Linked DNA regions of Cricetulus griseus. The protein of the gene in region 2 purifies or fractionates together with the protein of the main gene of each other region. This does not show direct contact. Links are inferred from orthologs where the notes say so. Each region holds a gene or a part of one and is shown on either strand. Other genes may lie near its edges.

Region 1 (3,942 bases), on a different chromosome or scaffold from region 2:
CGAACTCAGAAATCCACCTGCTGCTGCCTCCTTAGTGCTGGAATGAAAGGTGTGAGCCACCACCACCCAGCTAATAAAAATGGGATTTATAACTTGCCTAGTTTACTCAAGGTCCAGTACTAAAAACAAATTCCAACTACTCTCTTTTAAGGCAGTCTCATGTATCATATTTGCTACAAAGCTAAGGATGACCTTGAACTCCCCATCCTCTTGCCACTACTTCGAAAGTACTAGCATATACCACCACTGGGAACTTGTACACTTGACAGTAAAATTGAAAAGAATGCAATAAGTTACATAGCTGGGCCTAGTATATTAGAAAAAGAAAGATGGTTCTACAAAAGGCTGATACCACTACATTTAGTTACTCAGTGAAATTTTATTGTGGGGGAAGGTGAGGAAGAACATTCTGAAGAATTCAAAGAAGGGATGAGATGCTGAATGGGAACATACCTCAAAGGTAGGACATTTGCAAGACATGTACAACCACCACAAAAATCAAAGTTGCGTAGGATTTCAATGTGGCTAGTAAGGCCACAAAGAATACTAGGTTCATTTAAGGGAGAGAGGGAAGGAATGGCATAAACATTGGGGAGTGTTGAAAGATTTGCATACAACGTGGGTTGCCAGGGCCTACAAATTGAGATCACGCATATTATCACACTTTTTTTTTTTTTTCTTTTTCCCTGAGACAGGGTTTCTCTGTGGCTTTGGAGGCTGTCCTGGAACTAACTCTTGTAGACCTGGCTGGTCTCGAAATCAGGGATGAGTGTAGCACTTTTTTTTTTTTTTTTTTTTTAAAGCAAGCAGAGCATGTCAGAGCACACCTCTAATCCCAGCACTCGGGAGACAGAGGCAGGTGGATCTCCTAAGTATGAGGCCAACCAGGGCTACAGAGATAAACTGTCGGGATGGAGGGAGATTTTTAAAATGCTTCATAAGCTTAAATATCTTCTTTAAAAAAAAATATCAACCTAGACTTTCTTTTCTACTCAAGAACCTTAGCCACACATCAGCAGCTAATTGGTAATAAATTATGGAGTTGGGGGGAAACAGTCGAACCATAAAGGTTACTCCAGCAATTTAACAGATTAATGCAAAGGACTTAAAAGTCAGTTTATTTAAGTCAGGACTTAAATGCTGTTAAATTTCTTTTCCTGCCTATGGAGGCCGTGGAATTTTAGCTTTCTTAGTTAACCTAAACTCCAAAAAGTATTGTCTCTATGCCGATGTTTACTTAATGCTAAACCCAATACAGGAAGTCAGCTACTAAAGACTAGTTACACAGACATTTATAAACCATCTGCTTCAAGTGACCCAAGATTCAATTACAACATCAGCCCTCACATTTCATCGAACAGTCAAATTACCAGTCTAGTCAAGAATAAGTTCATTCTGCCCTATTGGCGCTTTAGATGGGGTTGCACAATCCCAAAGGGGTTGAACTATCTTAGCCTAGCCCCAGAGCATCAGGTCCTAAGTGGAGTGCGAAGTTACATCTTAAACCGGAGACAAACTCCAGTGTCGCTTGTACAAACGTAACCAGCCCATGCTCCGGATTTTTGGAGTTTAACACATCACTTGAGATCTGAGTGAAATTAAGTTTCAGTCCCTTTGCGATCTCTGAGCGCACAACGTCTGACTGCTATCATTCCAACGGGCTCAAGAGTGCGAACCTAGCTGGGGAAAAACTATTTTGGTGCGGAAATTCTGTCTTTTCCGCCCACCATTGGGGGCCGCACCGGTCGGGTCCCGCGCGATGCCCTGGCGTGGAGTTTGGGGGCGCAACGGGGCCCGGCGGGGGCGGCGAGCGCGCGTTCCCCCGCCCGCTCGGGCGGCGTCGAGGCGCGAGCAGCTCAGCCAGCCTTGCAGAGGGAGCTCTCGGCAGTTCAGGGGTCCCTCTAATCGCAGCCACAGCAGCGCCGCCTGCGCCACTCGGCGGCGACGGAGACCAGCAGCGGCGATGATCGGACTCTCGGAGAAACTCGAGAGCACTCCAGCTGCTGGAGAAGCACTCAGGGCGGCCGGGTAGGTTCCGGGACCGGGTGGACTGGAAGATGGGGCAGTCCGAGGCGCGTCGGTAGGGACCCGACACCCACACGGTTCCGGGACCTAGCTGCGCGCGGGCGGCAGAGGACTTAAGACCCCTAGGCGAGGCAAGCGCGAAAACCCAGCCTTCAGAGGTCCAGCCTCGGTTAGGGCCCCTTTCGCGGGAGGGGCGGAGGGCAGAGGGCGGGCCGCGGCCTGAAGATCAGCCGGGCCAAAAGCCGGCCTCGAGGGTAGAGACAAAGGAAGGAAAATGGAGTCGCCGAGCGCGCAGGCCTCTGTCGCCACCGCCGCCAGAGGCCTACCATGTTGGGAGGAGGGAAGCTAGCGGGCGGGTGTGGAGGGGGTTGGCCAGGCCCTGGCGGCAGAGACGGGCAATGGCGGCGGCCGCGCCGCAGCAGGGACGGTAGAGGGAGACAAACACCCCCCGGCGGCGGCGCTGGCGCCGGGCTGCAGCCAGCGCCGACCGGAGCGGCCCCATCGTGACACCTAGAGGCGGCCCGCGAAACCTCCTCCACCCCGGGCCCCCTTACCTTCGCGCCACACCCCCCGCGGCGCCCGCTCCGCCGCCGCTCCACCGCTCCGGCCACCTGGCGTCCCCGGCCAGCTCCGCGTGCCTGCACTGGCTACCACTGTCGCCGCTGCCGCCAAAGAAGCAGCTCCGCGCACGGTTTAATCGCTCCACAGGCTCGGACACAAAATGGCGGCGGCGCGGTGCAGTGCGCCTGCGTCGGCGCTGCCGGGGCCGCGGGTGCTGATAAGGGAAGAGACGGGTGGGGGGGGCCGGCCGGCGGCGAGTTGAGGGCGGGGGAGGAAAGGTGAGGGGAGGGGTTGGCGCAGGGCAGCATGGGAGGCGGCCCCGGGCGCCAACTTTCAAAAGCAGGCGCGATGGCGTCACGAGATGCGCCGCGAGTCGCGTCGTCACGCCGCACGCGCCCTTCCGCGCCCTCGCCCGGTCGCGCGTGGGCTTTGCTGAGGCGGAGGCGTCCTGGTTCCCGTTGGGTGGGGCTTCCTGGGCGGAGGTTTGCGGCCTCTGGGCAGTCGGATCTCCGCCTGGTTGCTGTGATTCTTTAGCTCTTTCTCTCCCCCAAAGCCGTGAAGGGGGGGAGGACTAAGCGCGCGGAGCTGGGCCGTGGGGTCGGACGAGACTCCAAGGTTCGGCCCTACCCAGCTGGGCCCAACCCTGGTTTAGCTCTGCACTGTGGTCCGCTACCGAGTAAGACCCAGTGAGTTCCCGCGCCTTCACACTTACCCAACAGTGTCCAGTGCTCAAAATCGACGGCTAGAAGAGCTGGCTGTCTTTGCTCAGTGGCTTTGGTGAGCTAGAAAAGGGACTTATAAAACCGGGTGTGAAATTAAGAGGACCAGGATAGGGCTTCCTGGGTGTCTCGAGGACACCTCAGTCGTCTTTAGCTGTATTTGGCGCCGTGAAAATATGTTATTTCTGTTAGGTTCCCCAGTTGGTGAAATCCTTCAGCCCTTCCCTCTCCCCTGGAGGCGCCTGGGGACCCTACCCAACCAATGGTAAATTGACAAGGGCCCTATTGCCAGATGTTATAGTGATCCCCTCTTCCCCCACGACTGGAATGTGACTTAGGACTGTATTCTCAACCCTCTTGCTGTAGCTATGTGGATAACAAATGCATCAAGGGAGCTGCTTCTGCTCTATCAGTGTCTATGCTGTGTTGTGGGATGCTGGCCCATTATCAACAGATACTGTTATTCCCCCAAAAGAATCAGAAAGTTGGGTTTGGAAGTATGTAAAATCCATATGGTCAAATGTTAGTAACTAAATAAGATGTTTTTAAACTTATTTAAACTTTAGCCCACTGTTGTAGGGCTGTCAGTATATGACCCTCGACTTAGCAGAAAGATAAAAGACTAAATCCTGGGAAA
Region 2 (3,973 bases):
TAAGCCTCAAACCACCTCAGACATCAAGAGTACATCTGTGCCCAGAGATGAAGGTGGTGAGTGAGAACCTGAGCCTATACCTGTTCAGCTCTCACGATCCGTGATCATTTACAGAAAAACAGGCAGTTTCCACTCACCCTAACTAGTCTTTGCCCCAGTCCCTTCAGCCAGGCACATTAACAAATAGGAATAAAGCAGTGCGGGTCTGGGTTGGAGCTCCGACACCAAGCTCCAATGACAGCTGCACCACCCCAACAGCATCGACTCAATCCTCTCCCTCCACGGGGGCACCAAGAGCCATTACCTGTCCAGCTGCTGGCATGCCTGGCAGAGACCTTCGCAAGGTGTACGGCTTGAGCCGCAGTGACACTTGCGCTGGGCTATGGGGAGACAAGGCTGTTCCCAATTCCCCCACAAGCTTTCATTCTGAACCCTCAGGGTAAGCTCAGATCTGTCAGCTCCGAAGGCTGCACAGGAGATAGGGACGGCAGCTTAGCAAAGGAACCAACAGTGCAGACAGGGAAGTAGAGTAGGCCGGCAGGCCTGGCTGTAGCTTACCTGATGTGGCGCTGGCGGATGAGCACTCGGGCGTGGTGGATGGACTTGGCCAGGCCCAGCTTAAAGACCTGGGTCTGCAGCCGCCTCTCCAGGAAGTCCTCAATCTTCAGGCCCAGGATGTAATCCAGCTTCATCTTGCCCTCGTCCAGCACCCCAATGCGAACAAGTCGCCTCAGCAGGGCATTGCCTGGGGAAGGGAGGAGTGTGACCCAGATCAGGCCTCACCTCAGAGCCTCCGGAAGGTCACTACAGCCGTCATCCATTTTTGCAAGGAGCGCAGGAAAAACAGCGATGTGCCTAATGATAACCTTCCTTCTATGAGCTCCTGGTTTCGACCCTGACACGGCCGCTGGATCAGCCTTTCAACAGCAGGCATCTCACCACAGGCTGTCACTCAGCCCTCACCACTACCATGGGAACTTCCACTCCCAACCTAAGATAACATGCTGCTTTCACAACAACAATCACAGTACTGGGGGAAACCAAAAGATAATCTAGACTACACAGCACCAGATAAATAAAAACTCACATCTATTCTCCCAGGAGTTTGAAAGAAATCTACTCTAACTGAAGGCCCAGTCACCTAGAAAGAAACCCTAAGAATAAAGAACCAAACCAAAGAAAAACGTACACCATCTATGTTATTTCAACACCCTAAAATAGACTCAAATTACGATGTTTTAGGCGGGCGTTGGTGGTGCACGCCTTTTAAATAGAAGCACTCGGGAGGCAGAGGCAGGCGGATCTCTGTGAGTTCGAGGCCAGCCTGGTCTCCAGAGCGAGTGCCAGGATAGGCTCCAAAGCTACAGAGAAACCCTGTCTCGAAAAACCAAAAAAAAAAAAAAAAAAAAAAAAAAAGATGGCTTCACTCCAAAGTCATCCCTGGGAGGCTGGCTGCCTGGACAATCTTCACTTCGGCTCACGAAAACCGCAGACCACCCTCATCTACCATTCATTCTCCTGTCACTGACCCCAAAGGAGCAATCTGTTCCCCAAACTCCCCTAAGCAAAGGGACGTGCCCTGACACCTGCAAGCCCCACACTCCTGCAAGAGTCTGGAAAGTCCAGACTCCAGGACGTTGGAAGACCAATCTCCACCAGATACTGCCCCCAAGGCTAGCGCAGCCGTGTCCACCGCCGTACCTCCCGGGACCACCAGTGCGGCCTGCGAACTCTGCAGCCCCACCCGCCACCGCTCACCCTTTTGCAGACGGGCCGGTACGCACCTTCGAAAAGACGCCGTGGGTCCTTTTCGTCCAGGGTCAGCAGCTCCCGGGCGGCCTTGCGGATCTTGGCCAGGGTAAACTTGACCCTCCACACCTCGCGCTTGTTCCGGAGCCCGTATTCTCCTGCACGGCGGGGGACCAGGGTGATGCGTTAGTTAACGATCACACTTGCATCCGTCGGCCACACACTCAGGACTCAAAACCGATGCAGGCCACACCCCTGCGCGGCGCCCAGGGCGAGCACACGTGGGAGGGCAGCCCTGGTGGCTACCTAACTCTTCCCCGATCGCCACCCTTCCCTCCTCTCCCTGCCATCTGAAACCCCACCCTGGCCGCTCACCTGCACGCTGGGTGGGCGGGGACCAGGGTGATGCGTTAACGATCACACTTGCACCGATCGGCCACACTCGGCTCTCAAAACCGATGCAGGCCGCCACAAGCCTGCGCGGCGCCCAGGGCGAGCACACGTGGGAGGGCCGACCTCGTGGCTACCGAACTCCTCTCCGATCATCCCTCCCCGCAATCTGAACCCCACCCTGGCTGCTCACCTATCAGCTTCAGCTCCTGATCGAGACGCGACTTCTCGAAGGGCCTCCGTGGGGTGACATAGGTTTTGCGACAAACCCAACTTCTGGCAACCGGCATGGTGGCGACTCAGGGCCCGCCGCGCCTGCGCACAAAGGATAAGGTTTAAAAAAAAAAGCAGTGGCGCATGCGCAGTGACTCCCCCCCCCCCCCGCGCGCGCCCCAGCACACCGCGGCCTGGCCCGGCTCTCGGAGACGCTGCCGTCACCACGTCCGACCGCCCTCCCTCCAGCCCCGCTCCCTCTGCGTGTCCGGATGGCTCCGCTAGCCCCGCCGAAGGCACCGAGGACCCCGCGCGCGACGCTCACCTCGGAACTCACGCCGGCGACAAAGAGACCCGCGGCCGCCGCGCCGCGCTTTTATAGCAGCGTGGCCTGGCCGTGACGTCAGCGCGCACGGCTCGCGGCTCCGCCAATCACAAGCGGGAAGGCGATAGAGCGGAGGCTCGGGTGGTGGGCCAGAGCGGCGCCGCGCTGGGCGGACTTCAGCGGTGCGGTGAGCCTCAGGCGGCTCACCGGCCCTGGTGACGTCCTTGTTATAAATCCAAGGATTTATGTGGGCTGCCGCTGCTGGGGCACAGACGCAGGGTGACGCCACGCACTGCGGTGGCTGGTTTTTTTTGCTTTAACAAAGACCCAGGGCAGCTGCCAAGGTTCCCCAGCAATGCTAGCATTGTAGGTCTCTGGGCCTGCCTCCCTGCTGGGCTTACACTGTGAGATATGCTTGCCCTTGTGCCTGTTGGGTTTGTTTGTTTGTTTTGTTTTTTTCAGCTTGACGCAAAGCTAGACATATCTAGAAAGAAGAACTCTTAGATAAGAAAACGTACCCCCCCCATCATCTTGGCCTCTGAGTCTCTCCTATTTTATTTGTTGTTTTGAGAAAGGGTTTCCCACCCAAGTGACCATAAATTCCTAATCCTCCTGCTGCTGATAACTTCCCAAATGATGGGATTACAACCCATTTTCCTGAAGATATTTTCTTTTCTTTTTCTTTTCCTTTTTTTTTTTTGCAGATTTTTTTATTTGAATTAGAAACAAGATTGTTTTACTTGTCAATCCCAGTTCCCTCTCCCTCCCGTCTTCCCCTACCACCCTCCCCAAGTAAAACCCTACCTATCACATATCCTTTCTGCTCCCCCTGGAGAGTGAAGCCTTCCGTAGGATGTCATCAGTCTGTCATATCCTTTGGGATAGGGCCTAGGGTCACCCCCCCCCCCATGTGTCTTGGCTCAGGGAATATCGCTCTATGTGGAATGGGCTCCCAAAGTCCACACCTAGGCTAGGGATAAGTACTGAACTATTGCAGGAGGTCCTGTAGATTTCCGAGGTCTCCTCACTGAAACCCATGTTCCTGGGGTCTGGATCAGTCCCATGCTGATATCCCAGCTACCAGTCTGGGGAGCAAGAGTTCCCTGGTCAGCTGTTTCTGTGGGTTTCACCAGCCTGGTCTGGACCCCTTGGCTCATCACTCGTCTTTCTCTGCAACTGGATTCCAGTTCAGTTCAGTCTGAAGATATTTTCTTTTTCGTTTGGTTGGGATCCCCCCCTACTACCCTGCCAAGACTGGTCTTTCTACTTAGTCCTGGATGTCCTGGAGCTAGCAGA

Evidence for each region. The genes of interacting proteins can lie anywhere in the genome.
Region 1: the proteins of Rps9 (region 2) and Ctcf purify together in Homo sapiens (affinity purification with mass spectrometry; 3 studies listed by BioGRID and IntAct, with this or other methods). This does not show direct contact. The link is inferred for Cricetulus griseus from reciprocal best matches to the Homo sapiens genes RPS9 and CTCF.

Annotation. Positions count from the first base shown.
Region 1 is NC_048596.1:181,921,797-181,925,738, reverse strand, and holds the start of Ctcf (transcriptional repressor CTCF), read right to left. Parts: upstream 2,801-3,942; 5' UTR 2,580-2,800; intron 1-2,579.
Region 2 is NC_048602.1:21,628,018-21,631,990, reverse strand, and holds the start of Rps9 (40S ribosomal protein S9), read right to left. Parts: upstream 2,801-3,973; 5' UTR 2,678-2,800; intron 2,455-2,677; 5' UTR 2,430-2,454; coding exon 2,333-2,429; intron 1,908-2,332; coding exon 1,785-1,907; intron 746-1,784; coding exon 559-745; intron 1-558. UniProt on the Homo sapiens protein: Component of the small ribosomal subunit. The ribosome is a large ribonucleoprotein complex responsible for the synthesis of proteins in the cell. Part of the small subunit (SSU) processome, first precursor of the small eukaryotic ribosomal subunit.